Lonchura striata: one gene and its partners. The protein of the gene in region 3 interacts with the protein of the main gene of each other region in a pairwise test. Links are inferred from orthologs where the notes say so. Each region holds a gene or a part of one and is shown on either strand. Other genes may lie near its edges. The genes, in order: proteolipid protein 2, RPRM, TMEM79 and TNMD.

What was found.
Region 1: the proteins of TMEM79 (region 3) and proteolipid protein 2 interact in binary tests that used the Homo sapiens proteins (3 or more experiments, as listed by UniProt). The two-hybrid records come from large-scale screens. The link is inferred for Lonchura striata from reciprocal best matches to the Homo sapiens genes TMEM79 and PLP2.
Region 2: the proteins of TMEM79 (region 3) and RPRM interact in binary tests that used the Homo sapiens proteins (3 or more experiments, as listed by UniProt). The two-hybrid records come from large-scale screens. The link is inferred for Lonchura striata from reciprocal best matches to the Homo sapiens genes TMEM79 and RPRM.
Region 4: the proteins of TMEM79 (region 3) and TNMD interact in binary tests that used the Homo sapiens proteins (3 or more experiments, as listed by UniProt). The two-hybrid records come from large-scale screens. The link is inferred for Lonchura striata from reciprocal best matches to the Homo sapiens genes TMEM79 and TNMD.

The regions. Positions count from the first base shown.
Region 1 is NC_134638.1:2,178,916-2,186,842, reverse strand, and holds the start of proteolipid protein 2, read right to left. Parts: upstream 3,343-7,927; 5' UTR 3,314-3,342; coding exon 3,227-3,313; intron 1,412-3,226; coding exon 1,259-1,411; intron 320-1,258; coding exon 224-319; intron 1-223. Other genes in the region: GPKOW (G-patch domain and KOW motifs-containing protein), read left to right, coding at 6,922-7,127, 7,289-7,809, 7,926-7,927. UniProt on the Homo sapiens protein: May play a role in cell differentiation in the intestinal epithelium.
Region 2 is NC_134610.1:1,354,443-1,360,008, reverse strand, and holds RPRM (protein reprimo), read right to left. Parts: upstream 1,687-5,566; 5' UTR 1,632-1,686; coding exon 1,209-1,631; 3' UTR 916-1,208; downstream 1-915. UniProt on the Homo sapiens protein: May be involved in the regulation of p53-dependent G2 arrest of the cell cycle. Seems to induce cell cycle arrest by inhibiting CDK1 activity and nuclear translocation of the CDC2 cyclin B1 complex.
Region 3 is NC_134635.1:1,095,184-1,103,278, forward strand, and holds TMEM79 (transmembrane protein 79), read right to left. Parts: upstream 3,375-8,095; 5' UTR 3,280-3,374; intron 2,461-3,279; 5' UTR 2,357-2,460; coding exon 1,627-2,356; intron 1,420-1,626; coding exon 1,206-1,419; intron 982-1,205; coding exon 777-981; 3' UTR 472-776; downstream 1-471. Other genes in the region: nonsense-mediated mRNA decay factor SMG5, read left to right, coding at 4,323-4,399.
Region 4 is NC_134616.1:929,716-937,724, forward strand, and holds the start of TNMD (tenomodulin), read right to left. Parts: upstream 3,149-8,009; coding exon 3,101-3,148; intron 2,978-3,100; coding exon 2,843-2,977; intron 1-2,842. UniProt on the Homo sapiens protein: May be an angiogenesis inhibitor.

The DNA of each region.
Region 1 (7,927 bases), on a different chromosome or scaffold from region 3:
CATCCCCAAATCCCCCCTCACCCCAGCCAGGATCCCAAACAGCTGCAGGAGAGACTCCCAAATTCCCCCTGCACCCCCAAACCCCCTCCCCCAGCCTCGAGCCCCAACAGCTGGGGGTATCAGAGACCCCCAAATTCCCCCTGCACCCCCAAACCCTCTCCCTACCCCTGGTCAGGAGCCCCAGCACCCATGGGGGGGTTCAGCCCCCCGAATTCCTCCTCACCCCTCCCGCGATGCCGGCGCCGTCGTGGTGGTCGATGATGACGATGAGGGAGGTGATGAGGAAGAGCAGAGCCCCGATGAGGCAGCGCATGAAGTCCTGGGGGGGCACAGATGGGACCCCTCAGAGAGACCCCCCAAACTTTCTAGGGACCCCCCCAGGAACCCCCAGACTCTCTGGGGACCCCCAGTTCCCAGGGATGCTCTGCAGCTCAGGCACTGCAGGGCCCCCCAACCCTCCCAGAGCCCCCCAAACCCCTCCACAGCCCCCCAATGCTCCTCAAACCCCCCGTAATCCCCCCAAACCCCTCCACAGCCCCCCAATGCTCCTCAAACCCACCGTAATCCCCCCAAACCCCTCCACAGCACCCCAGAGCTCCTCAAACCCCCCCAAATGCCCCCCAAAACCATCCATAGCCCCCAAATTATCCTCAAACTCCCCGTAATCCCCCCCAAACCCATCCACAGCCCCCAATGTTCCTCAAACCCCCGGTAGTGCCCCCAATTCTCCTCAAACCCCCCGTAATCCCCCCAAACCCATCCACGGCCCCCCAGTGCTGCTCCAACCCCCTGCAATCCCCCCAGTGCCCCCCCAGTTCTCCTCAAACCCCCTGTAATCCCCCCCATAATCCCCCCAAATCCTTCCCCAGACCCCCAATGCTCCTCAAAACCCTTGTAATCCCCCCCAAACCCCTCCCCAGCCCCCCAATTCTCAAACCCCCTGTAATCCCCCCCAATTGGCCCCCAAACCCCCAGTAATCCCCCTCCCCAGCCCCCCCAAACCCCTCCCCAGCCCCTCCCCAGCCCCCCAAACCCCCAGTAATCCCCCTCCCCAGTCCCCCCAAACCCCCCCCAGCCCCTCCCCAGCCCCCCAAACCCCTCCCCAGCCCCTCCCCAGCCCCCCAAACCCCTCCCAGCCCCTCCCCAGTCCCCCCCAGCCCCTCCCCAGCCCCCCCAAACCCCTCCCAGCCCCTCCCCAGTCCCCCCCAGCCCCTCCCCAGCCCCCCCAGCCCCTCCCCAGCCGCTCCCCAGCGCTCACGCTCCAGCCCCAGTAGATGAGGGAGAGCCGGGGCGGCAGGCGGCAGCTCCAGGCCAGCAGCACCAGCGCGGCGAAGAGCAGCTCCAGCGCCGCCAGCCCCGCGTAGCCCGAGCGCGACGCCCCGAAGCACGCCAGGGTCAGCGCGCACAGCACCTGCGGGCACGGCGCCTATGGCATCCATAGGGGCAGCCCCGAGCCCCACGGACCCGCCGAGACCCCAGAGGGACCCCGCGGGACGGGCACGGCACGTGGGGGATGCGTGCGGCGTGCCCGATGGGCCCTGTGTTATCTCTGACCCCCACAGAGACCCCACAGTGTGTGCCCCAGCCCTATGGGATCTGTGCATTGTGCCCTATGGGCCCTGTGTGCTCCCCGGGTTATCTCTGAGCCCCCACAGTGTGCCCCAGCCCTATGGGATCTGTGCATTGTGCCCTATGGGCCCTGTGTGCTCCCCGGGTTATCTCTGAGCCCCCACAGTGTGCCCCAGCCCTATGGGATCTGTGCATTGTGCCCTATGGGCCCTGTGTGCTCCACCTGGGCTCCCTGAGCCCCTATGGACCCCATAGAGACCCCAAAATGTGCCCTGCCCTTATGGTCCCCCATTGGGCACTGAGGGGTCACCTATAGACCCCATAGCGCCCCCATGCGGGGTCACCTATAGCCCCCATAGCGCCCCCCTGTGGTGTCACCTATAGCCCCCATAGCGCCCCCCTGTGGTGTCACCTATAGCCCCCATAGCGCCCCTATGTGGGGTCACCTATAGCCCCCATAGCGCCCCCCTGTGGTGTCACCTATAGCCCCCATAGCGCTCCCATGCGGGGTCACCTATAGCCCCCATAGCGCCCCCCTGTGGTGTCACCTATAGCCCCCATAGCGCCCCCATGCGGGGTCACCCATGGGTGTCCGAGCGCCCCCTGCGGGCGGCCGCGGTTCCCCGGTTCGGCCCCGCCCGCGGGGGCGGCGGGGCGGGGCCGTCTCCCGGTAACGGCCGCCATGGCAACGGCACAACAGCGCCCCCCCCCCGCCCTTCAAGGGGCGACGGCGTGGGTGGGGCCCGCCAGGGGCTCTTAAAGGGGCCGCTCCCGGCGGGCGCCGCCCGGGCTGGCGCAATAACGGCTGGAACGGCGGGCCGGGCTCCGCCCCAACCGCCCCTTCCCCCCGGGCGGGCACCGGGCACGTCCGGGCTCCCTCCCCGCTTTCAACCCGGGGCCCTCCGGCCCCGCCCTTTCTCACCTGCCCCGCCCCACCCCCGTTTCCCAAGGGCGTTGCCCCTCCACGCGCCCGAAACGGGAGCGGGAGGCGCGGGGGGAGCGGGTCCCCGCCGCGCCCCACGGCACCGGGGACGCTCTGCGGGGGTGTCCCCCCCGCCCGAGACCCGGGTCCCTCGCTCCACGGGTCGGCCCGAGCGCTCCGACAGCCGGGCATCCCCACCGGGATGGGGACACCCCGAGGATGGGGACACCCCGAGGATGGGGATACCCCGAGGATGGGGACCCTCCCGGAATGGGGACCCTCCCGGGATGGGGACCCCCCGGAACGGGGAGCCGGTGCGGCGGTGTCCCCGATCCCTTCCAAAGCACGGAGCCAGGCGTTCTCCTGACGCCCAAAACTGGGATCCCGCCCTCCCCACAAATAGGGGACCGCACGTGTGGGGGCGCCCCCCAAAAATGGGGAGCCAGGTATCCTGCTGCATCCCCCCCCCAAAACCGGTGATCCCGGACATCCTGTCCCGGTCCCGAGCCGGGACTCGCGCATCCTCCCGGCCCCGAACGAGCGGCCAGGCGTGTCCCCCCCAGCCCAAAGGAGCGGGGCACCGAGTCATCCTGCCCCCCGCACACCGGGACCGGGCCACCGCGCTGTGCCCCGCCCCACGCGGGGCCCGCGCGTGTCCCGGTGTGGCCCCGCCGAGGGTATCCCGCCCCCGCGGTGCCCCGGAGCCCCCGTCCCCCGGCGCCCCCCGCGGCTCACGATCTCGCCGATGAGCACCAGCCCCTTGTGGGTGCGGCTGAAGGCGAGGCAGTTGCCGGGGCAGCTCTGGGGCCCGCTGGACTCCATGGCGGGACCGGGCGGCACCGAACGGGCGGCGGCGGTGGCGGAGCTGAGGGGGGAGCGGGGGGGGCGCCCCGAGGAGCTGGCACGGCGCGGGGGCGGGGCCTGGCGGCGCGCGCCGGCACGCCATTGGCTGGCGGGGCGCGGGTGGGCGGGGCCTGGCGGCGGGGGAAACCCCAATTAGGGATGGGCGAGGGGAGCGCGGGGGGGCGGGGCCGCGGGCGGCGCGCGCCGTCACGTGACCGGGCGGTTAGGGGAGGGGGGAAACCCCGGCGAGGGGTCCCGGGGGGCGGGGCTTGGAGCAGGGAATCCCCTGCGATGATTGGGTCGGGGGTCCCGGGGGGCGGGGCTTGGAGCGGGAAATCCCCTGCGATGATTGGGTCGGGGGTCCCGGGGGGCGGGGCTTGGAGCGGGGAATCCCCAGCGATGATTGGGTCGGGGGTCCCGGGGGGCGGGGCTTGGAGCGGGGACTCCCCTGCGATGATTGGGTCGGGGGTCCGGGGGGCGGGGCTTGGAGCGGGAAATCCCCTGCGATGATTGGGTCGGGGGTCCGGGGGGCGGGGCTTGGAGCGGGGACTCCCCTGCGATGATTGGGTCGGGGGTCCGGGGGGCGGGGCTTGGAGCGGGAAATCCCCAGCGATGATTGGGTCGGGGGTCCCGGGGGGCGGGACTTGGAGCGGGGAATCCCCTGCGATGATTGGGTCGGGGGTCCGGGGGGCGGGGCTTGGAGCGGGGAATCCCCTGCGATGATTGGGTCGGGGGTCCCGGGGGGCGGGGCTTGGAGCGGGGAATCCCCAGCGATGATTGGGTCGGGGGTCCGGGGGGGCGGGGCTTGGAGCGGGAAATCCCCTGCGATGATTGGGTCGGGGGTCCCGGGGGGCGGGGCTTGGAGCGGGGAATCCCCAGCGATGATTGGGTCGGGGGTCCCGGGGGGCGGGGCTTGGAGCGGGGAATCCCCTGCGATGATTGGGTCGGGGGTCCCGGGGGGCGGGGCTTGGAGCGGGGAATCCCCTGCGATGATTGGGTCGGGGGTCCCGGGGGGCGGGGCTTGGAGCGGGGACTCCCCTGCGATGATTGGGTCGGGGGTCCCGGGGGGCGGGGCTTGGAGCGGGGAATCCCCAGCGATGATTGGGTCGGGGGTCCGGGGGGGCGGGGCTTGGAGCGGGGACTCCCCTGCGATGATTGGGTCGGGGGTCCCGGGGGGCGGGGCTTGGAGCGGGGAATCCCCTGCGATGATTGGGTCGGGGGTCCCGGGGGCGGGGCTTGGAGCGGGGAATCCCCTGCGATGATTGGGTCGGGGGTCCCGGGGGGCGGGGCTTGGAGCGGGGAATCCCCTGCGATGATTGGGTCGGGGGTCCCGGGGGGCGGGGCTTGGAGCGGGGAATCCCCTGCGATGATTGGGTCGGGGGTCCCGGGGGGCGGGGCTTGGAGCGGGGAATCCCCTGCGATGATTGGGTCGGGGGTCCCGGGGGGCGGGGCTTGGAGCGGGGACTCCCCTGCGATGATTGGGTCGGGGGTCCCGGGGGGCGGGGCTTGGAGCGGGGAATCCCCAGCGATGATTGGGTCGGGGGTCCGGGGGGGCGGGGCTTGGAGCGGGGACTCCCCTGCGATGATTGGGTCGGGGGTCCCGGGGGGCGGGGCTTGGAGCGGGGAATCCCTCGCGATTGGCGGTGGGCGTGGCCTGCCGCGGGGGCGGCCCCTGAGGGTGGCGGGAAGGGGACCCCGAGGGGCGGGGCTTGGGGGGTCCCGAATTTTGGGGGGGGGTCCCCGGATTTTGGGTGGGGTCTCGGGATTTGGGGGGGTCTCGGGGTTTGAACGGGGTGGTCGCCGGGATTTGGCGGGGTCCCGGATTTTGGATCGAGGGTCCCGGGATTTGGGTGGGGGTCCCGGATTTTGGGTGGGGTCCGGGGATTTGGGGGGGTCCCGGATTTTGGGGGGGGTCCCGGATTTTGGGGGGGGTCCGGGGATTTGGGGGGTCTCTGAGGGGTTTGGGGTCCCCGAGGCCGCTGCCCCCGGAGCCGCTCTCGGTTTTGGGCTGACTCAGCGGATGTGGGCAGCGCCCCGCGCAGGAACCGGGGGGGGCTCCCCGCCTTTACTGAGCACCCCAAAAACCGGGACGGGGGGGGGGGACACCTCCGTGCGACCCCCGGGGGGGGAAGGGAGGGGGGCGGGGCGGGGACCCCTCCCCCATCCCCCTTCCGCCCCGTCCCCCTCCCCCATCCTCCTTCCGCCCCTCCCCCGTCCCCCTCCCCAGCCAGGCTGGGGCTTGGGGGCTCTGGGCTGTACCACTCTGCCGTGGGGGGGGGGGGGAGGCAATGGGGCGTCTTACCGAGTTTGGGGGGCTCTGGGCTGTACCACTGGATTTGGGGGGGCACCGGTGTGTTTGGGGGTCCGTGGGCTGTACCACTGTGCTGGCAGGGGGGTGATTGTGCAGCCGTGTTTTGGGGGGGTCTCGGCTGTACCACTCGGTTTGGGGGGGCATCGGTGTGTTTTGAAAGGCCGTGGGCTGTACCATTTGTTTTGGGGGGGCACTGATGTGTTTTGGGGGGCCGTGGGCTGTACCATTTGTTTGGGGGGGGCACTGGTGTGTTTTGGGGGGCCGTGGGCTGTACCACTGTGCTGACAGGGGGGTGATTTGTGCAGCTGTGTTTTGGGGGGCAGTGGAGTGTACCACTCGATTTTGGGGAGCATTGGTGTACACCCCTGTGGTTTGGGGGGCTCTGGGCTGTACCACTTGGTTTGGGGGGGCACTGGAATACACCACTGTGTTTTTGGGGGCTTTGGACTGTACCACTCGATTTTGGGGGGCACAGGAGTATAGCAGTGTCTTTTGGGGGGCCGTGGGCTGTACCACTGTGCTGGCAGGGGGGTGATTGTGCAGCCGTGTTTTGGGGGGGTCTCTGGGGGCCCCGAGGGGATTTTGGGGGGTCCGAGGTGGGGGGGTCTCACCCTGGGGACGGCGCAGCAGCAGCAGAGCCTCACAGCCCCCCCAGTACAAACCACTACACACCAGTACAGACCAGTTGCACACCAGTATGGACCAGTAACCACCAGTAACACTCCCCAGTGCTCCCATTAACCACCAGTAACACTCCCCAGTGCTCCCAGTAACCACCAGTAACACGCCCCAGTGCTCCCAATTCACTCCAATGTTCCCAGTTCCCTCCCAGTGCTCCCAGTTTGGCTCCCAGTGCTCCCAGTTCTCTCCCAGTGCTCCCAGTTTGGCTCCCAGTTCCCCCAGTTTGGCTCCCAGTGCTCCCAGTGCTCCCAGTTTGGCTCCCAGTTCCCCCAGTTTGTCTCCCAGTGCTCCCAGTTCCCCCAGTTTGCCGCCGTTCCCGTTCCCCGCCCCCCGGTACCCCCGCGGGGTCTCTCCGGCAACGCGCGCGAGGCCGGCGGGCGCGAGCCGCGGCGGCGGGGGCTGAGCGACGGGCGGCTCCGCCAATCAGCGGCCGCAGCGCGCGGGAGGGGGCGGGACGGGCCGCGCCGCCGACACCGGATAGGCGGGCGCTCCGCCAATCAGCGGCCGCAAAGCCCGCGGGGCGGCGCGGAGGCTGCTGGGAGTTGTAGTCCGGCTGGATCGTCGCGCTCTCTCCCACAGGGCCCCGCGGCGGAAGATGGCGGCGGGCGATGGCGCGGCCGAGGCGCCAGGACCGGGGCCGGGGCCGGGGCCGGGACAGGGGCCGGTGTCCTTCTCCTTCAGCCGCAGGGCGGAGCGGCGGCGGCCGCTGCCCGCGGGACCGTGCGCGGAGCCCGGCGCGGGCGGTGACACCGAGAGCGACACCGACTTCCTGACGGCCGTGGAGGGCCGCGAGCTGCTCAGGTGGGCGGGGCTGGAGCCGGCGGGGGCGGGGCTTGGTGAGTTATGAATGGGCACGCGGTCACCGCGTGCGGCGGGTTGGGCGGGGCTAAGACGAGGGGGCGTGGTTTCCGCCCGGGGTTGCCTCTGAGTGGGCGTGGCTAAGGCCGTGTCCCCGCCCCCAGCACGCGGCCGGCCCCGCCCCCCAAGCAGGAGCTGGTGATCCCGCTGATCCCGGCCCGCCGCCGCTGGAACCCCGGGACCACCGGGACAACCGGCACCGGGACCGACCCCGCCCCCGGAACCGGCACCGGAACCGCCCACGGGACTGATCCCACCCACGGAACCGGCACCGCCCCCGGAACCGGCACCGGAACCGCCCACGGGACTGACCCCGCCCACGGAACCGGCACCGCCCACGGGACAGACCCCGCCCCCAGATCTGACCCCGCCCCTTGTACAGGCCCCGCCCATAGTTCTGACCCCGCCCATGGATCAAGCCCCGCCCCCATCAGAAGCCCCGCCCACAGCGCTGACCCCATCCATGGAATAAGCCCCGCCCCCAGCGCAGGCCCCGCCCCCAGTTCTGCCCCCGCCCGTGGACCAAGCCCCGCCCCCCACAGAAGCCCCGCCCCCCACAGAAGCCCCGCCCCCAGCGCCGCCCCCCCCTCGGTGGAGGCTCAGGCGGTGCAGGAGCTGCTGCAGGGTGAGTTTGGGGGTCCCGGGGGTGTTTGGGGTCCCCCTGAGCCCCCTGACCCCCAGCGGGGTCCCGGGGGTGTTTGGGGTCCCCCTGAGCCCCCCTGACCCCCCCTGCCCCCCCAGAG
Region 2 (5,566 bases), on a different chromosome or scaffold from region 3:
CCTCTGGCTTTTTCCACCCCTTCCAGCCCAGCTGCAAATGGATTTCACCTTCTCCATGCCCAGTTTCAACTCCCGATAACCTCTCCTAGGGGTGTCCATTAAATTTCGGGAGCCCGGCCATCTCCACCCCCGGGATAAACCGGGAAGCTCCAAAAGCTTCCAGCACTAAAAACGCGCACAATCGATATTTCCCGGCAGGAATCCGGGCGCCAGGAGAGCGATTTTCCCCCCGCAGGTTGTTGGAGCCTCTGCGACCCCATCCCGCTGCCGGGATTCCCGGGAAGCGCCTCTGGAGCTCCCGCTGCTCCCGGAGCCGCTGGGGAGGCGCGGATTTATCCAGGAGCCGCTGGGAATGGGAAAAACACCCCGGGAAGATCCCTGCGGAGGAATGGGGATGGAGGGAGACATCCAAATCCCGTGGGAGCAGCGGCTTCTCCCTCCCTGCACCGCGCCCGCGCCAAGTCACCTGTTGGTCCGGCTCGGAGCTGGGATAATAAATCCTGGATTTTGTGCTTTCCCAGAGCCAAAATCCCGCTGTATTCCCGGGCAGGGGATCCCCCGGGCTGGGCTGGGCTGGGCTGGGCGTTTTCCCCGGCCACAGCCGCGGTCCAGGGGCAGGAGCGCAGTTCCCGCATCTCCCGGCGCGCAGGGATGCGGGGGGCGGAAAAGCGCTGGGAAAAGGCTGGAAAAGCGCTGGAAAAGGGGAAATTTAGGCCGGCTGGACGGGAAATCCCGCGGGGACGGGCTGGGAGGGACAGGGGAAGCTTCATCCCGGGCGCTGCCCGCTGCTCTCCGCCGCATCCCGGGACTCGCGGCGGCAGGGAAAGGGAAGGGAAAGGGGAAAGGGGAAGGGAAAAGGAAGGGGAAAGGGAAGGGGAAAGGGTGGAGGCGGACGGAATAAGGAGCCCAGACCTGTTGCCATCAGAGCACGCTTTACTTCGGCAGCCGCGGGCGGCGGAACCGGGCCGGGATGGGCCGGGCCGGGCGGCTGCGGCCACCCTGAACAAATCCCGACCTCCGGCATCCCGGGATCCATCCGAATGCCTGGCGTTTTTCAGGAGGAAAAGCTCCGAGCCGAGCCCGCGCGTTCTCGGGAGGGCTGCGGGCGGTCAGTCCGGTCAGTCCGGTCACTCCGGTCAGTCCGGCGGTCAGTCCGGTCACTCCGGTCACTCCGGTCAGTCCGGCGGTCAGTCCGGTCACTCCGGCGGTCAGTACGGCCCCACCACCACCGCCTCCACCTCCTTGGACGGGCGGCGCTCCTTGACCAGAAAGTTGATCATGCCCTCGGACTTGATGAGGAGGTTGCAGCCGAGGAAGAAGATGCCGAACACCACGGTGAGGGCCAGCACGCACATGACGGCGATCTGCACCACGCGCATGATGTACACGCTGCGCTCGTCCGCGCCCGCGCCGCTGCCGTCGCTCACCACGGAGGCGGCGGTGCAGCAGCGCAGCGCCCGCTCCAGCTCCAGCGCCGCGGCCCCGGCCCCCGCCAGCAGCCCCGCCGCCGCCGCGGAGCCGTTCGGGGCCACCGGGGCTCCCGGCGAGCCGCTCGGGGCCACCGGGGCTCCCGGCGAGCCGCTCGTCCCCGCTGGAAGCCCCGGCGGCAGCCCCGCCGCGGAGCCGTTCATCCCTGCCGGCAGCCCCGCCGCCGCCGCCGCCGCATGCAGGCGGCCCGAGCCGGGCCGGGCGGAGCCGTGCCGAGCCGTGCCGAGCCCAGGCGGGCCGGGCGGAGCCGTGCCGAGCCGTGCCGAGCCCAGCCTGGCCGCTCCGCGCTGCCCGCCCGGCACCGCCCGCTCCGCTCCGCCCCGCGGGCAGCCGGGGAGGGACCGGGAGGGGAGGGGAGGGAGGGTTTGGGTGGGAGGGGAGGGGAGGGAAGGGATGGAGGGAGGGAGGGTTTGGGTGGGAGGGGAGGGAGGGAAGGGAGGGGAGGGGAGGGAGGGAGGGTTTGGGTGGGCAGGGAGGGGAGGGAAAGGGAAGGGATGGGAGGAGGGAGGGTTTGGGTGGGCAGGGAGGGGAGGGAAGGAGATTGGGATGGAGGGAGGGAGGGTTTGGGTGGGCAGGGAGGGATGGAGAGGGATTGGGATGGAGGGAGGGAGGGTTTGGGTGGGCAGGGAGGGATGGAGAGGGATTGGATGGAGGGAGGGAGGGTTTGGGTGGGAGGGGAGGGAGGGAAGGGGATTGGGATGGAGGGAGGGAGGGTTTGGGTGGGCAGGGAGGGGAGGGAGGGGAGGGGAGGGGGAGGAGGGAGGGGAGCAATGGAGGGAGGGTTTAGATGAGGAGGGAGGAATGTGAGGGAAGGGAGAGGGGTTAGGATGGAGGGAGGGAGGGTTTGGATGGGGAGGGAGGGGAGAGGGGTTGGGGGAAGGGGAAGAAGGGAGGAGGAGGGTTTGGGGTGGAGCGGAAAGGGAAGGGAGAGAGGTGGGAGGGAGGGGAAAGGGTCAGGGAAGGGTTTGGGGGGACAGAGGAGGGGTCGGGAAGGGGAGCGGCTTTGGGGAGCAGGGGGGGGCCGTGGGGCGCGGAGGGGCTGGGAGGGAGGATTCGGGGATCAGGAGAATGGGATTGGGGCTGGCAGAGCTGGAATGGGGCCGGGGGGATGTGAGGGGCGTTTAGGGGATGGGTTTTGATGGGAGAAGTTTGGAGCGGGATGAGGAGGAGGATGGGGGGCAACGGGCCAGCGGGAATTCTGCCCGTGGGATTTGTGCTGGGTTTTGGCAAGCGGATCTCAGGGATGGATTTCCTGAGGGAGGGGGCTTTGGGAAGTGGCTCTGGGGGAATGGCGTTTCGGAGCGTTTTTAGGGGAATTCGCAGAGATCAGATTTTGTGGGAGTGGGATTTCCCACCTGGGTTTCTGCCTGTGCACTCCCAGGGAAGCGGGGAGGGGTTTTTTTTGGGAAAACACATTTTGGAGGAGGTTTCCGTGCTGAGGGATGCAGGGCCAGTCCTGGGAACTGCGGGAAGAGCCAGAGCAGCCCTTTGGGGCCCTGTGGGTGGGCTCGGGTGGTGGAGCCCCCGTTCCCCAAATTCCCCCAGCTCTGTTTCCATGGAAGATCCAGCTCCGCGTGTTTCGGAGCCTCCCCGTGGTCGGGGGCGGTGCCGAGGGAGCGGCGACAGCCGGGTGGGACCCCGGGGACCCCCGGAGCCCACTGCCCATCCCTGCCGAGCCGCCCGGGCACCCCCGGGATCCAAACCCCTCCCAGGCGCCTGGAATTGCTGGGAATTCTCGTCCCCCTCCGCCCAGCCCGGGGCCGCTCCAGACCAGTTTCCCACGGCTGGTTTTGGGGTTTTGGGAAGAGCTGGGGGGTGGCGGCAGCTCCCGAGGGCAGGGCCGGGCGCTGGGGGAGTATCCCGGGATTTCGGATTCCCGGAGATGGGCACGGCCAGGGATCAGGGATCAGCTCCGGCCCGGCCATGACTTGGAGATTTCCTGAGCAGAGCGTGAGCTGGGAGCTTAACCCTGCGCTGTCCTTCCCGAGTGGGATGGGATCACCCCAAACTACCGCAGGGATCAGTGTGGGATCATCCCAAACTGCCCCAGGGATCTTCCTGGGATCATCCCAAACTGCCCCAGGGATCCCTGTGGGATCATCCCAAACTACCGCAGGGATCTGCCTGGGATCATACCAAACTACCACAGGGATCAGTGTGGGATCATCCCAAACTGCCCCAGGGATCCCTGTGGGATCATCCCAAACTGCCCCAGGGATCCCTGTGGGATCCGTGTGGGATCAGTGGGGCTGGGACAATCCCTCCCACGGGGGTGAGGTGGTCCTGGGCCACCTGGGGATTTCCTGGGATGTTCCTCACGGGAATAACCCGCTGGAGAGGCCAAGGCCTGGAGGGAGGATGTGTGCCAAAGCCCTTCCAGCTGCTGCGTCCTGCTGCGGTGGCACTTGGGGTGGCACTTGGGGTGGCACTTGGGGTGGCACTTGGGGTGGCACTTGGGGTGGCATTTGTGGTGACACTTGTGGTGGCACTTGGGGTGGCATTTGTGGAGACACTTGGGGTGGCACTTGGGGTGACACGGGGTGGCATTTGTGGTGACACTTGGGGTGGCACTTGGGGTGGCACTTGGGGTGGCCCTGGGCACTCAGCGCTGGGGCAGTTTTGGGGCTTTTCCAAGAAGCCATTCACGGTTCTGCCATGAGCTGGGTGGCGGATGTCACCCGTGGCCCTGTCCTGTCCCTGCCGTGCTGGCCCCGCTCCCGCGGCCGCGGGAACGTTCTGTTTTCCTGCGGGAAGGGAAGATGGGATTGACTCTGAGGAGCCAAGGGAGGCCTGGCAGCTCCTGCAAGGGAGGGAGAGCTGGAAGAGCTTCTGGAAGAGCAGCGTTCCCGATGGGAGCGTGGCTCTCTCCATGCCCAGCAGGCGCGTGCCTCGAGCTCTGTCCTTGGGCTCGTCACCTCCAGCCCTTGGCAACTCCGCAGGGAATTGCTTCCCATCCCCGGGTTATGGCAGGAACAGTCCCATCCCGAAATTATGGACAAGGACAATCCCATCCCGAAATTATGGATAGGAACAATCCCATCCCCGGGTTATGGCAGGAACAGTCCCATCCCGAAATTATGGACAAGGACAATCCCATCCCGAAATTATGGACAAGGACAATCCCATCCCGAAATTATGGATAGGAACAATCCCATCCCCGGGTTATGGCAGGAACAGTCCCATCCCGAAATTATGGACAAGGACAATCCCATCCCGAAATTATGGACAAAGACAATCCCATCCCGAAATTATGGATAGGAACAATCCCATCCCCGGGTTATGGCAGGAACAGTCCCATCCCGAAATTATGGACAAGGACAATCCCATCCCGAAATTATGGACAAAGACAATCCCATCCTGAAATTATGGATAGGAACAATCCCATCCCTCAATTAGGACAGGAACAATCCCATCCCCAAGTTATGGCAGGAACAATTCCATCCTGAAATTATGGACAAGAACAATCCCATCCCCAGGTTATGGGCAGGAACAATCCCATCCCAAAATTATGGATAGGAACAATCCCATCCTGAAGTTATGGCAGGCACGATCCCATCCCGAAATTAGGACAGGAAAAGTCCCATCCCTAAATTATGAGAGGAACAATTGGAGGCAGGAAGGCTCCTGTTCCCTCCTCCCGGTCCCCCCATCCCGGTCCCATTCCCATTCCCTGTCCCCCCATCCCGGTCCCATTCCCATTCCCTGTCCCCCCATCCCGGTCCCATTCCCGGTTCCTGTCCCACACATCCCGGTCCCATTCCCCGTTGCCGTTCCCCCATCCCGGCCCTGTTCCAGCCTCATATCCCGGAATGCGGAGCGGGGCCGGGATTGCCGGGAGAGGAGTGACACCTAGTGACGCTCGGGACACCGGGATATTGGGACACCGGGATCCAGGCACCGGGATACCAGGATCCAGGCACTGGGATATCGGGATCCAGGCACCGGGATACCGGCATCCAGACATCGGGATATCGGGATCCAGGCACCGGGACACTGGGATCCAGGCACCGGGATATGGGATATCGGGATCCAGGCACCGGGATATGGGATATCGGGATCCAGGCACCGGGATATCGGG
Region 3 (8,095 bases):
GGAGTGGCTTTTCCTTGACTGAGTGGGTTTTTCACTGCTTTGGATTATGACTGGGAACTGAGGCCATCAGACAGGAACTCCCAGGGGTCCATTCATGTCTGCAGAAGGAGGGGCCCAGCACCCATCCTGGGGAGGACTGGCCATCCCTAGCCCTGGGCCATGGCAAACCTGGTGCTGTGTCACCCAACCTGGCTTCTCCCTGGGGAGGGCTTCCTCCCTCCTGTCCAACCAACTGCTGAGTGAACTGGGTGCTGAACCTCCACCAGGAGGAAGAGGAGGGACAAACAAGGTGAGACTGGCTATGCAGGGACCCAGGAGTGGGATGCAGGGCTGGGAGAGGAACAGTCTGAGAGAAACATTTTTTCCCTCTTGGAAACATAATTTTGAGGCTGGATGATTACATCCTGTAGGCAAAGCTCTGAGTCATTCTTTGGGGAATTTAACTCACCCTCTGCAAACCAGCCACAGAGCTGCTTGTTAAGGGCTTTATTGGGCAAAGTTGGCTCCAGCAGGAGAGGAAGCAAATCCCACCCCATTCCCAGGGAAGAGCGCTTGCATTGTCCTGCTCTGGCCCTTCTTCAGCTGCAGCAGGAGTCTCGTGGTGCAGAGGGTTTGTAGCCTGGCTCGGTGGGCCCAGCAAAACCTCCCTGTGTCCAGGCAGGGAGCGGGGGCCCAGCTGGATGTGCCAGCACCCCTGTGCTGTCAGGGCTCTTGAGGCAGTGCATGAAGGAGGGCTCAGACTCGTAGGGTGCAGGCGCCCCATCTCCTGGCCTCCCTCAGCCCCAGTGCCGGAGTTTAGCTCGGCTCTCCTTGGAGTGGCCCTCGGGCGTTGGCGTTGCCAAGGACAGGAGGTTCTCGGGCTCCAGGATGAACATGCCATACAGGTTCCAGAGCAGCATGGCCAGGAGCGGCAGGAAGGTCATGCTGAAGCCAAAGGCACGGAAGGAGCGGCCGATGGCGTAGGACATCCAGAAAATCAGCCTGGAGAAGGCAGAGGGTGCGGGCTCAGCCAGGGTGATGCTGTGGGGCTGGCACTCACTGGTTCTGACCAGTGGGGATTTCCCAGGCATGGCTGCCGTAGGAAGAGGAACCCTTCCTGGCTTTGGGGAGCTGCGTAAGGTGCTGCCACAGTGGGAGTTTGCTCCAAGGCACGGTGCTGGCTGGCACTGACAGAGCCAGCAGCCTGGGGTGAAGGAGCCACTTACCGGGAGATGGCGAAGAGCCCTGTGAGCAGTGGGATGAGCTTGAGGAGCTCCTGTGGGAGGTAGGTGGCCAGCACAGCCATGTTGAAGAAGTAGAGGATGAAGAGATGGACAGACTGGGAGACGTAAGTGCGGTGGATCTCCACCTCCTGGTGGAGCTCTCCAAAGGGCTCCAGGGCGGAGGAGCAGAGGCGGGAGATGCCACTGACGATTATTCCTGAGGGACAGAGAGAGAGGCTCAGTGGATGCCCAGTGGAGCCACGGTGGGGTTTGGGTAGAAGCAGGAGGGGAGAAAATCTCCATTTGCTGCTCCTGGTGGGAGCAACAGAGCCACAAAGAGCTCAGCCCCACTCTGCTCCTGCAGCCCCAGGCTCACGTAGCCCAGAGCAGGAGTAAAGCACTCATACCCAAGCCCATGGCTCACCCAGCACGATGGGGAAGGTGGCAAAGGTGGCACAGCGCAATGTGTAGACCAGGCGGGCGCTGACGGTGGGCAGCAGTGGGGCATCGAAGGGCAAGAAGATGTAGGCACCATAGATGAGGCAAGGGCAGAGGAGAAGGGCTCCTGCCACTGATGCCACAGCCTTGAGATTATCAGTGCCACAGTCCCTGGCACACGGGCACCGTGACCCCTCAGCCGGGGGCTTGGCCATGTGCCCCTCAAAGCCCAGTGGGTTCCGGCAGCGCGAGGGGCCAACGGGGAGGAAGACCTGCTTGTGGTGGAGGCTGCTGGGTCTGTCACTGGGGGGGACGCTGGGGGGAACATCCCCCCTGCTCTCCTCCCGGGGCCATGGGGTTGGGTGCTGCTTCTGCTTGATGGGACTCTGCTCGATGCACTGCGGGTCGATGGGCACAAAGACGTGGGCCGCCATCACGGGCAGCCGGGGCACTTCCTCATCTTCAGCCTCGACTGTGGGGCAGGTGGGAGCAGCTTCCTCTGGGTCTTCATGGCCACCCTCAGGACTCGAGCGCCTCTTTGTCTCCACGAGCTCCGGCTGGCCCCAGGCATTGTGCTGACTCTGGTCCCATGGCAGGGTGGAATCAGGGTCCCCCTGGTGCTCACCTGGGGCTGGTGGCACCTTGGCCAGGGCCACCTTCCCCAGCTCCAGCAGAGCCACCTCCTCAGGGGGCTGGACAGGGTCTGCAGCAGCCATGAGAGTGTCCAGCTCCACACTGCCAGGGATGGGGGTTGGTAACACTGCTGCCTGCACTTGTGGTGTTCAGAGGGGATAAAGTTCCTGTCCTTTCTGCTTTCACCCTGGACCAGGAGAAAGGAGACAGATAAATTTACATCAGAAATGAGAGGTTTGGGGTCACATGCACAGCACCAGTTACAAAGTGGGAGCAAACTGGCAGCCCTGGAGCCCCCACTACCCGGCTGTCCTTGCACTAGGAGGGGAAAGCAGTGCCTGGTGTCCCTGTGCTCTGGCCCCTGGCAGCAGGGTCAGGTACTGTCCTGGGAGGGGTGAACTCTGGAGGTGTAGGTCTGGCTGCAAAACAGGGCTGCCTAGGAATAACTTCAACATCCTGGGGGTTCTAGCTGGGCACAACCCAGCAGATACAACTGGCTCCTTGGTGGCTCTCTCCCGGGCCAGGACCAGCCAAGCCCTGGGGAGAGGTGACCTAGCTGCTTCCCAGAACCATGGCTACAGCGGGCACGGGCCAGGTTTGCTGCCTCTTGTAGCTGAGACTGATGTGGGGTGGACAAAAGTGGCTGCTGGGTGCCCTTCCATGGGTGCAGGAGGTACGGGCAGAGCTCCATGTTGTTACCCTTAGGGAAACCTTGTCTCTTGGCCCGTCCTCAGTGTCCTGCCTGCCTCCTGCAATGAACGTTTCTCCTTCGCTCCTCTCAGCACATTGATCCCTGCACCCTCAGGAACTTGGCCTGGCCACAGGTGTGGGGAAACTGAGGCACGGAGCCGCTTGGGGCTTCCTCCGCGACCCACACACGGAACTAGGGCTGAAACAGCTTCCCAGGTTTCCCGTGCCTCCAGCGCCCGGTCCCGGAGCCCAGCCCCTCTGGCAGCCCCCAGCCCCGCTTCCCCCGGGCAGCGCCTCCCCTCGCGGCAGCACTCACTCGGGCTCGGGCGGGGGGCCATGGGGGCAGCTCTGCGGGACCCTGCGGGATTCCAGCGCTCTCCCGGCGCCTCCGCGCCGCGAACCTGCCGAACCGGCTCAGGTGGGGCGGGCGGAGGGGCGGGCGCTCCGCCCGTCCCAGCCCGGCGTGGCCCCGGGGGCTCGGCGGAGGGGACGGGGCGAGCCCGGCGCTGTCCCCCGTGGCAGGCGGGGGACCCCCGGCTCCCTGTGGGCCGCTCGGGGCGTGCCAAGTTAAAGAGCTCTCTAAACACACAGAGAGTTTAAAAAGGGGACGGACAAGTCAGCCCTTGCTCATTCTGCGAGGGTGCGAGGTGGAGCTTTCCACAAATCAAGCGCACCAAGGGTAACACGAAGTTACACCTTCTATACAGTAAAATTTACATTAACCCGTCTAATACACATCACCGCCCACCTAAAGAACATTTATGTATCGTAACCTAACACAATGCTTGAAATACAAAGTCGTTTTATTTTGAGCAACTTTTCTTACAGAAGTTACGTGACGGCACAGTTACGTTTACAGAAGGTGAGAAGGTTCAGCATGAAGACACCACTGCGGGAGCCGCGGCCCCACAGGACCCGCCGGGATGCCTGGCCAGTCCCTCGGGATCCCAGAGCGCGGGGAGGAATTCCTGCGCCGTCGCCCCCGCTCCCGACCCCACAGCCAGGCGGGGTGCTCTGGTGCAGCGCTCGACCCGGGCACCGGGCGGCACCGGGCCCGCCCCGGCACCGGGCCCGCCCCGGCACCGCGCCCGCCCCGGCACCGGGCCCGCCCGCCTGAGGCGGCCGCCGCCATGTTGCCAGCACTAAGTGCGGGCCTCTCGCGCGAGCTGGCTCTCGCGAGACCAGGTCGCCCCCGCCGCCGCCCTGCCCGCCCGGCGCGGCGCGGCCGCGGGAAATCTCGCGAGAGCAGTGAGGGCCAGGGGGCAGCCATGGCGGCCGAGCGGGCCCGGGGGCGGCGGCGGCGGCGGCGCGGGCGGTGCTGAGGGGCCGCGGGGCCGGGCCGGGCCTGCCGCGGGCGCCATGAGCCAGGGTGGCGGGGCCGCCGGCGAGAGCGGCGAGCCGGAGGCCAAGGTGCTGCACACCAAGCGGCTGTACCGGTGAGCAGAGGGGCCGGAGGGGATGCGGTGGCCGAGAAGGGGAGCGGGCTGGCGGACACCGGGGGCAGCCGGTGTCGGGAAGGGGCCGGGGCGGCTCCCGGTGAGGCTGGGGAGGGCCGGCGTGGAGACGGTCGGGGGGTTACTCAGGGGGACGGGGGGTAACTGGGGGTGCCCGAGGAGAGCAGAGGGAGAATGGGGCTGGGCAGCGTCCGGCGGGGACTGGGGGTGACGGCAGCGAAGGGGATTGGGGCGGGGGAGCTTGGGCGAGCCTGGCGAGGAGCAGGGTGAAGGAGGTGGCGGGATATAGGGAAGATGGAAGGAAAGGAGATGAGGGAGTTGTCAGGGAAGGATTCGGGGGGAAGGAGATGGTGGAATCGAGGTAACAGCAGGGATTGATGGAGCGGGGTGGGGAGGGGGCTCCTGAATCCAGGGGAATCCGGGGGAGACTGGGAGAACGAGGGCGAAGGGAATTGGAGGGCTATTCAGAGAAGATGGGGAAAGGAGATTATGGAATTTAGGGAAGACTGAAGTGAAGTTGTGGGGAAATCCAGGGAAAGGATGCAGTGCAAAGGGAGAGGAGAGGGAGGAGGTTTAGGGAAGACCAGGGAAAGGCAATGTGTGGAAGGGAGTTGTATGAGATCCAGAGGGGATAAGCAACACATGGAGGGGTTCCACTGGGGAAAAGGAGTCTGGTGGCTTCAGGGCAGATTAGTCAGACCAAGGGACTGGGGGAAGGAGCTGTGGGAGATCCAGGTAAGATGGGAGAATGGAGAGATAGGGGAAGGAGATAGGTGGGAGACCAGGAAGGGGGTAAGGGGACACCCAGGATAATGAGTAAGGACATGGGGAGGTGGAAAAAGGGATTCAGTGGGATTCAGAGAGAATGGTGGGGGCTGAGTGGAAAGGAGTTGTTGGGATACAGTGGGATAAGGGTGAGATGTGGGGTCATCCAGAGAGAGAGGGGTTGGAGAGGGTGTCCCTGGCTTTGGTACTATGCAGGGATTATGTGAGAAGTGCTGGAGTGGGTGTGATGAGCAGGAGTGTGAGCTGGGACACTTTGCTATTGTGTGGAGGGCAAGACAGCTCCAGCTGCAGATCTTTCCAGTTAAGCACTCCCTGGGACTCTGGTCCCACATTTCTACACCATGCATTGGAAATGGCATCAGAGAACAGGACTGGGGCACTCCTGCTGGCCTTGGTGAGCTCAGGCCCCCTCTGCTCCTGATCTGTTTTGTGAGGGCAGCCCAGAAATTGTTCCTTTCTGGCTCAGATCCACAGGAGTTCCAGCAGCAGCTCTGGGTCTCAAAGATGAGCAAAATGATGGAGACAAGAGATGAATTTTACATGAGGGTCCATTTCTTTTTGTCTTGATGACATTGGCTGTGTCCTTGCACCTTGTGGGACCTCACTGCCTACCTCTACAGCAGGGCAGGGTTTTACCTTGTGATGGAGGTATAGGCTGCACAGTCCTGCCCAGAGCACCCCGGGCTGTGGGGCTCTGTGTCTGCTGCACCTTCAGTGATCTCCACCACATCTGCTGGAGGCTGAGCTAGAGCAGCAGAGCACTGTCCCTGCCCAAGGAGTGTGGGACAGGGCTGGAGAGGATGTGCAGGATGTGTGTGCTTCTGCCTTTGTTGAAACCCTCCTCGTTGTTGTTCAAGACCTGTTTTGCTTTGTTTTCCTGGTGCTGCTCAGCTCATCTGTCAAGTGGAACCTCACGTTCTGCTGCAGCCAGCAAGAGAACGGCCTGTGGCCAGATGAGGAATTGTCATCCCTGCAAGGGAGGGGTTGTTTTCTGTTTGAATTTTTGTAGCAGAATAAGGCGTGTAGTTGCTCTAGAGAGTTCTTACAGCAGAAAAAGAAGCACCCTCCTCCTGCAGGGACAGCTCTTCTTTAGCAGGGAGGAAGCATTGTGATTTTAGTGCAGGATTTATAGTACCTGCAGTGGCCACAAATTTCTATCCTTGTAGCTGACAGTTCTCTGAGCAGGTTCCCACCTTCACAGTCTCCTGTCAGTTCTCATCTGTTCCAGCCTGAAGTGGGAGTTTCCTGCCTGTTGTGTGGTGGCTGTGGTCTGAGAGCTCATGACTGTCCCACTAAGTGGCACCTTTGAGTCACAGATGCGTGAATGCCATAGTCCCAGCTCTAAACTGTGATCCCATGGGATCAGCGTGTTGTCAGCTTGTGGGAGCTGAGCTCAGGTCTCCAAGGTCCTTGGCAGCATGTTGGCTGTCAAGAGTGTCCTTTCAGAGAGGAAGGTGCCCATTGCTTCTCATAGGGTACTCTTTGATCTTTTCCAAGTCTTCCTAGATTGAGAGTTCCCAGGTTTCACCTTGAAATGTGGCAACTGCATTATAATGGGTGCACTTTTACAATGCTTGTTGTAGCGTAAGGTGACCAGGTTTATTTTACAGCTTTCTGGGTAACCATTAGCTCATGGACTCAGTGTTGCTGTTGTTTTGTGGAACCTGTTCCAGAAAGTGTACTGACACATGCCAGAGCACAGCTAAAAGACTTGCAGGTCTTTTCTCTTAATAATGTCTTACTCCTCAGATACTGTGGCTCTTAGTGATGTCCTAAATAAACAGAGGGGACAAATAATTCTCCCTGCTGTCCTGCTCCGTCCCAGAGTGTTAATTGCACGGAGGAAAAGGGGCTGATCAGTGTCTATATGGCTCGAGAAGACTTGGCATTAGCCTGTTTCCACCCTGCTTGGCACCATGTGCTGTATTTGTTTCTTTTAATAGACTGGCATCTGATGTGCCTCCTTTGTGGCTCTAATATACTGTCTGAAAGCAATGTTTAAACACAGCAGGTAGAAAAGTGGGTCCTGGGACAGGATTTCCGTTCTTAACTGCTAGGGAAAGTTCAACCTGTGGTCTTGGACAATTGAGGGCACAGATGCTAAAGTGCATTTCCAGCAGAGCATGGCCCATAGCAGCTGTGTTGGTGTTTCCCAGCATTTCTGGAGTGAGGCTGGCTCCTGTCCCTTTTGTCCTCACTGAGTCCTCTTTCCCCAGCACCACAGATGTGGGATCCTGGCAGGGAATCACCAGCTGTCACATTCTGCTTTACTCCTGCCTTCTTCTCTTCCAGCAGCACCACAGGGCCTGTGTGGATGTGCAGAAGGCAGTGTTTCAGCTGAGGCCTCCCTTAGGGCTGATGAAGTGTGACGCTTCATGACACACATCCTAGTGTCAGCCTTGCTGCTCTCTGGTCACAAACTCTGTTTCTTTACAAACACTGAAAGAACAGCAGAAATACCAAGTGTGTGCATGTGCCCATCCATGGGTTGTTGTATAAAATTAGGTTGTATGGCAGATACCCTCTGGGCCACCTTGATGGGAAGGTGATGTCCTTCTGTCCCCAGAAGGAAACTTTTTTGTACTTCTCATTTGGCAGGCCACTGGGATCATTTTCCACATTGGCTGTTATGGACACGTGTGCTTGTTTCAGATGCACACAGCTGAGATTTGTTGCCCACAGAATGTTATTTTACAGCTGCTTTACTGCTTATGTCAGGAATCAACTATTGTAGTTCTCTCTGGGAATCAAATGAACCAGCAGTTCCTCTTTCCCCTGGTCACCCTTTGTAGAGGAAGCCAGTCAGCTCCTGGTGTGCTGGAAGGGACTTTGAGAGCCACAGCTAGGACAGCAGTCTGAGGCTGTAGTAAGGAGAGGTGCATTGCCTGTGCT
Region 4 (8,009 bases), on a different chromosome or scaffold from region 3:
GGGATGTGTGTCAAACCTGGGAGGAGATGCACCTCCTACACCTGCAGCAGGAGCTTTGCCCAGCTCAGCCTTCGCTGGTGCTTTCTGTGGCATGAGCCTGGTGACATCCAGGCTGGACTGAAGCCCCGAGCCCACAGGCACTTCATTCTGCCTTCTCCCTGGCCTGCTGTTCCACACTGCATCCCTGGCTCCTTTGCTCCATCACGGTGTCCCGGCTCACCTGCTCCCCCGTGTCCTGCCCAGCTTACTCGCTCCAGCTCTGTGCCTTCTGTTTTTCCTGAAAGGCAGAGGATGAGCCTCTCTCTGCCTGGAGGAGATCAAGGATTGCCTGCGGATCAAAGACCTCCTGGAGGCTGCTGCAGAGCTCCGGCTTTGGCAGCGCTTCCCGGCGGCGCGGGTCCCCGGGGAGCAGCCGGCGCTCCCGCTGGCAGGGCAGCCTCGCTCTCTGCATGCCTGACCCTTGCGGGATGGATGAGCAGCGGCAGATGCTATTTGAAGCACAAAAACGATCCTGCTGGCGGGCCCTGGGGAGCCTCGCTTCCCGAACGGAACTGCGTGGAAGAGAAGGGCTCGTGCAAATCCCCTCCAGTTCACCAGGCAGGGATGGAGGCACGGGGATGGGAGAGCCCTGCTCATCCCACGGCATGGCCGTGGAACCAGAGCAGGAGCGTGCTGGCCCACTGGTGTGGGGCAGGAGCTCTGCCCTTAGTGCCAGCCCAAACCCCTTTCACAGTGCCCGGGTTCCTGCACATCCCTCCCCTTGGGGTTCAAAGCCTCTTAGCAGTGTTCCAGCATTGGTATCTCCTTTGGCTGCAGAACTGCCTGTGCAGATGGGAGTGATGGGAACATTCACACCCCTTCTCAAAGGTTAGAGGAGTGATGTGCGCCTGGGCAGGCACGGACACCTCCTGTCGGTCTGCAGGAAGACTTTGTAGAGATATACAGCTCTCCATGGATTTTATGATACGGTAAAACAGTCTGAAGCCTAAAATGGGTGAAAGGCGGCTGGTTTTGACTGACAAAATGCACCCAGTGCCATAAATCATCTCAAGGAGGGCAGGATCCCGGGTGGCACCTTACCTTCAAGTACAAAGAATTACTCTGGCCAGCACAGCGGCCAGCTAACCCACTTGGGCTTTGCCAGCTCTGCGCTGCTCACAGCGCTATGAGATGTTTTATAGGGCTAAAAATGACACTTGCTGGTGAATGGTTGAATTATGGCCCTCTGCAAGGCTGTGATGAACCCCTCGTTAGCTGAATCATCAGCTGTGCTGGCTGGTGAGGAGGCTGCTGTGCAGAGGGCAGAGCCGTGTCCAAGGCCACCCCTCGGAGGAACAACCTTCTTTCAAGTTTTTTTCCACTCTCCAGTTACATGAAGGAAGCTTGAAGGGTTTCATCTTCTTTAAAGAGTTTAATTCCTCTTGGCTGATATTTTTGAGTGTTACCAACTTCCAGCCCCCCCAGCCTGTTTGTCCTGAGGACTCCCGGGCCAGCTGGAGAAGCCCCACAGGGACAGGGACAGGGCAGTGCTGGGCTCGGGGAGTGTCTGTGTGCAGCTCTGCTGCAGGAACAGCTCTCCTTTCTCGTGGCCTCACACCCCACTTGCCTGCCCATCAGGTGTTGGGGAGTGCTGCATGGACCCCGTCCTCCACCGGTGAGCACACCGTGGGCCGGGGCTCTGGATGTCCTTCCTGAGGCTGTGGCATTGTCTCTGCTTGGAGCAAACCGCCCCTCCAGGGGTTAACAGCCTCTTCCCCTCATGGCTGGCATCACCCCTGTTTTTCTAGGAACAGTAGAGACTTTATAATCGTCTTGGCAGGATTCTGGAGGAGCATATGGCTTTTATTGTTTTTCCTTTTATTTCAGGGGGTATTTATTTCTATTTGCTGATAAGAAGATAAAGTTTCCAGCGAGCAGGATGCTTCCTCTGCCCGGCAGGAGGGCGGCCTGGCCAGGCTGGAGCAGCTCCAGGACAGTGCAGGGAGCACATTGGAGATGCCAGTGTGGGAAAGAGGCTGCCTTGGCTGTGCACAGGAATTTTGGAGATGTTCTCAAGAGCCAGCAAAACCCACTGGAGATGGGGTGCAGAGCGGGGCCTCCTGGATGAGCATGGAAATTCGAAGGAAAGGAGGATGAGGGGCAGCAGGCAGGCTGTGGGTTTCAAGGTTAAAGGATTTGCTTGGGGCGTGGGATAAAGAAGGGCTTTGGCAGCACTGCCAGGATGGCGGGTGGCAGCGGGCAGGGACGGCTGGGGATGCACAGCCCTGCTGCCGCCCCGGCACCACAGCAGCGTCCGTCTGCAGCTGGCAATAAAGGAGCCCAATCCAGTTAGCAGCAGCTCCTCCAGAAGCTAATCCGTCTCACCGTCCCTCACATTGCAGACACATTAAAGTAAGAAATATAATCCATGACAATCAATCACCACTGCGTCCTGGCTTTCTCTCCTCTTTATGCGGTGGCATAATGACTTTTCCACCGGTTTCTGGCAAGATAATTGAAATGAAATGGAAAATATTTTCTTACTTGTCATAAAATTTGCTGCCGGTGAAGTAAGAGAAACTTTAACTCTTCGTGGCGTAGCTCCCATCCCCTGTAATTGTCAACTGGGGAAAGAAAGCAGTGACAGGGGAAAAAAACCAGCCTGCATAAAGTAAAAGCTAGTTATGAATAATACAAAGATTTTTAAAAGTCCCATGAATACCTGTGGTCTGAGAAAATGCATTTTGTGAAGTTGCCTGGGTTTTGGAGAGTTGTTAAAAGTTTCAGCGAGTCAAGGGGAGGGGGACAGCTCTGTCTGGGGAAGCAACGCTCTGAAATACCGGATCAAAGGGGTTTTACTTACTTTTCTGGGTGCTGGGTTCCAGAGGTATTTGACACCAAAAAATATCAGAATAAGGGAAAGGAGCAGCACGCTGAAGAGCAGTCCACAGAGCTGGTACCTGGGGCAGCTCTTCTTCGGAGGCTTGGCTGCCTCTGCCTATTGATGACAAAGCAGCGCTAGCCAGGCTGTGCCCGGGGCTCCCGGCAGGACGAGGGCACCACGTCTCAGCCGTTTCTGGCACCGCAGGCATGCAGGGGGCAAGGCAAGCCGTGCACTCACGTCCAGAAAGCGGCAGTCCTCCGGGCTGCGCCGAGCCGAGCCTCCCATGGTCTCCTCCGTGTGCGAGGAGCCAGCCCGCTCCGAGGTGGAGTTACAGACGCTCTGGCTGCACACGCGGTGGGAAGGCTGGGCCACGGCCACCCCCACGGAGGGACAGCCAGCTGTGCCACAGCTGCTGGCCCCACGGCCCCGCCGTTCCCACGCCGCTGGACGCGGAGCCCAGTGTGGTGGCTGTCACACGCGGCCAGGGCCGCTCTCCTTCGCTCTCTGCTTCTGCCCTGCGCTGGGGCCCACGTGCCAATGGCTGGAGGTGCCCACACTGCCGGTGCCCCATGAGCCCGGGGACAGGGACACTGCTGCGGTGTTCATGTGTGTGTGGGAACAGCCCCGGAGCTGCCACTGGGGTCCCTGCATGGCAGGGGACATGGGCATGGCAGGGACATGGGCATGGCAGGGACATGGGCATTGCAGGGACATGGGCATGGCAAGGGGAATATGGGCATGGCAGGGGAATATGGGCATGGCAGGAGACACAGATGTGGCAGGGGCACAGACATGGCAGGGGACATGGGCATGGCAGGCCACATGTGTGTACACACAGGTGAGCACAATGTGTGCACACAGGTGAGTGTGATGTGTGCACACAGGTGAGTGCAATGTGTGCACACAGGTGTTGTGATATGTGCACATAGATGAATGCAATGTGTGCACATAGGTGTATTTGATGTGTACACACAGGTGTATTGGATGTGTGCACACAGGTGAGTGTGATGTGTGCACACAGGTGAGTGCAATGTGTGCACACAGGTGAGTGTGATGTGTGCACACAGATATGTGGTGTGTGCACACAGGTGTGTGTGATGTGTGCACACAGGTGAGTGTGATGTGTGAACACAGATATGTGGTGTGTGCACACAGGTGTATTCCATGTGTGCACACAGGTGAGCAGGCTGTATGTGGCCATGCGTGCCCTCCTGTGCAGCCCGTGTGTGTGTGGGGAGCCCTCAGCTCTCCCTCTCATGCACAGCCTTACCCCAAAGTCAGCCTAGCCAGGAATTTCCTGACTAATTTTTTTTTTCCTTTTTTTTTCTATGTTCAAAAATTTCCATTTGTTGAAGTCGTAGCGTTTCTTCATGGAAATGAACCCATCTTAAGAAAGGCTTTCAGAAATCCAGCGTGAGGTTTCTGGTCTGAACAGGATGAGACTCCCTGGTGTAGAAGAGCTGGCATGGACTTTTTTTCCAAGCTGTTTACTCTAATAAAAACCCAAAGTGCATCATGCACTAATTAAAATTGCACTGAAAAAAGAAAATCCACATCGAATTTTGCTCAGGATGAGAAATGGAGAAAGAAATTGCTTTTAGCAGGTCTGGCACTGGCTTTGTGAGCATTGGGATGTTGCTGCCTGCAACCAGGGGTCAGAAGTGGAGATTCTGAATAGCCTGGGGAGAGCACTGTGCACACATGTGTGCTGGGGGTGTGCCCTGGTGTGCATCTGCTCCCTGCAAAGGGTTTGGGCTCCTGGCCCCAGAGCAGCAGGGAATCCTCACCCCACAGCCCCTCAGCAGTCCAGGGCAGTAAAACACAGTGGTGGGGGGTTCAAATTTGGGATGGCAATAACAGAATCCTACTGACAAGGTCATTTGGAGGAGAAAAAAAGCTCTTTTTAAGGGAAAGCAATCATAGGCAGCCTTTGAAAACATCCTGAGGGGTTTTGTAAATCTAAATGCAGCAAATCTGTGCAGACACCACGTTTGTCTGTCTCCACTTCCCACCAGAAAGTTCCATCTCAGAAGCTTTTGTTATTCACTGGAAACTCAAGTATTTGAAAACATTCTCTTTTCTTGTCAAAATTAGAGTTTCAGAGGAAAACTTTGGAGCAGCTCTACTGAAAGATGGTTCTGATTACAGGAAAGAATTACAGCAGTGCTGCTAAGCAGACATAATTGATCAGCAGATCTTCACCATATCCCCCACTCAAGGCACAGGAAACACTGCAAATACCACTCATAAACCAAATTAGGCATTATTATTTTATTACTGTTGTAAGGTAAATGTCAAGCTTTTTAATGGCAATCACTGTAACTCCATCAGGAGTCGGGTGTCTGAAATAGCTGCAAGAGGTGAGAAGCTCCCAGGGCTGGAGTTCATAAAACTCAATAAATATCACAGGCCCCTTCCAGCGCCGGCAGAGCTGGGATGGAGAGGCCAGGGTGGGTGGTGGGGGACCCAGGGCTGGGCTGGAGCCCTGCTGGTGCTGCAGATGGGCACTGCTGCCTGGAGGAGCAGCGGGGTGGGCACGGGCACCGCTCCCACACCCACGGGCACTGCTCGTGCACCCACGGGCACTGCTCACACACCCATGGGCAGTGCTCACACACCCACGGGCACTGCTCACACACCCATGGGCACTGCTCGTGCACCCATGGGCAGTGCTCACACACCCATGGGCACTGCTCATGCACCCACGGGCACTGCTCGTGCACCCACGGGCAGTGCTCACACACCCATGGGCACTGCTCATGCACCCACGGGCACTGCTCGTGCACCCACGGGCAGTGCTCACACACCCATGGGCACCGCTCCCACACCCACGGGCACTGCTCGTGCACCCACGGGCACTGCTCACACACCCACGGACACTGCTGGCACACCCACGGGCAGTGCTCACACACCCATGGGCACTGCTCATGCAACCACGGGCAGTGCTTGTGCACCCATGGGCACTGCTCATGCACCCACGGGCAGTGCTCGTGCACCCACGGGCACCGCTCCCACACCCACGGGCACTGCTGGCACACCCATGGGCAGTGCTCCCACACCCACGGGCAGTGCTCGTGCACCCATGGGCAGTGCTCACACACCCACGGGCACTGCTCGTGCACCCACGGGCACCACTGGCACACCCACGGGCAGTGCTGGCACACCCACGGGCACTGCTGGCACACCCACGGGCACTGCTGGCACACCCACGGGCACTGCTCACACACCCACGGGCACTGCTCGTGCACCCATGGGCAGTGCTCACACACCCACGGGCACTGCTCCCACACCCACGGGCACTGCTCCTACATCCACGGGCACTGCTCACACACCCACGGGCACCACTGGCACACCCACGGGCACTGCTCACACACCCACGGGCACTGCTCCTACACCCACGGGCACTGCTCACACACCCACGGGCACCACTGGCACACCCACGGGCACTGCTCACACACCCACGGGCACTGCTGGCACACCCACGGGCACTGCTCACACACCCACGGGCACTGCTCCTACACCCACGGGCACTGCTCACACACCCACGGGCAGTGCTCGTGCACCCATGGGCACTGCTGGCACACCCACGGGCACTGCTCACACACCCACGGGCACTGCTCACACACCCACGGGCACGCTCAGCACAGAGCGGGCTGCCCCACGGAGGGCAGGGGCAGGATCCCAGCCCTCCACACTGCTGCTCCCCCAGAGTGAACAGCCAGCCTGGATCGGGGCTTTGAGAGCAGCAAACCCCTCTGCAACCCCTGGGGTCCCCCCTCAGCCCCTGTGGCCGTGTTACAGACACTGGATCCTGACAGGAGACACATGGTTGGGATGCAGACAGGGGCAGAAACTGCAGGATGACACTCATAAAAAATGGTGGGGTTTTTTTCACCCATTCCCCAGTGCTCTGGCTCAGACTTCAGGGTTTCAGAGAAAAAAAAAAAAAAAGTATTTTTATGAAAAGACAATAATTTTGGGGGAAAATCTCTTAGTATCCTTAAGATGATAAGCAGGTTCTCTGTATAAAAGCAGTTCTGATGAAAATCTCCCATCAATGCCAATGGAGAGGGAACAATTACTAATTTTCCATGAAGCTAATGAGAGCGAGTGTATATGACAGGGGAGAATTTAATCTGATGTGAACTGAGGAAGAGAAGCAATACTGATATTAATGTGTGACTAATTGATACCCAGAAGAACATTTGAAATGATTAAAAGGCATTTGATTTTTATACAGGACAATAAGAGGCTCATTGGCTATGACTGGTGCATCCTTTCAGTTTTCTACTCTGTGTTCCAATTTGCCCAGAAAAATCTATCATATCTGCAGCGTAGCTTGACTGCTGCATAAAATCTCTGTGCCTGGAAATGTTATAGCGAGAAATTCCTCCTGGACAGCGCAAAGGATTGCACACGGTGTGAGCGGGGCTGAGCAGCCTGGCAGAAATAAAATAGGTCCCCAAACCACTAAAAAGCAGCTCCTCAAAGCAGTGGGGTTTGGGCAGCAACCTCCAGCTGAAAGCCCCTCGTGATTAATATCGTGCTCTTTGTTATAATGAAAAACTCATTAAGGTCAGTGGCAGCATCTCTGAGCAGCACTAAATTGGAACGATGGAGACAGTAAAGTTAAAAATGAGCCATAATATTAATGTGGATAGTGAATTAATTGGGCAATTCCACAGGTAGTGAGTAAATCATATCATTTACTGTGGCACATGGTGCCAGGCAGCTCTCACTGCTGGCAGGGGTGGCAGCTGCTCCTGGCTGGGGCCAAGGAGCAACACAGAGCTGCAGCACCCGAGGGACCCCACTGTGCCCACCTCCAGTGCAGCCCTCGAACTTGCCTGCTGCTGGGAGAGCTCTCTGTAGGGAAAATGCCTCTTGCTGTGCTGTTTTTGTGCCTCAGCCCCGAGCACGTCCTGAAGTGCTGAAGTGCTGCAGCCCTGCTCCAAGGGGCTTTTCCCTCCACCCTCAGCTGTGCCGCCTGTGTCCCTCTGCAGTGCACCCACCGGTGTTACCAGACTGCTGGCAGGCTCGGGGAATGGCTGCTCCTCTCCTTTGGGTGGCTCTCCCAGGAAAGGCTTCCATCAGAAGATGTGCAGGAGCACCAGGCAGCCCTTGGCTCTCTCCTGCTGCTGTTGTG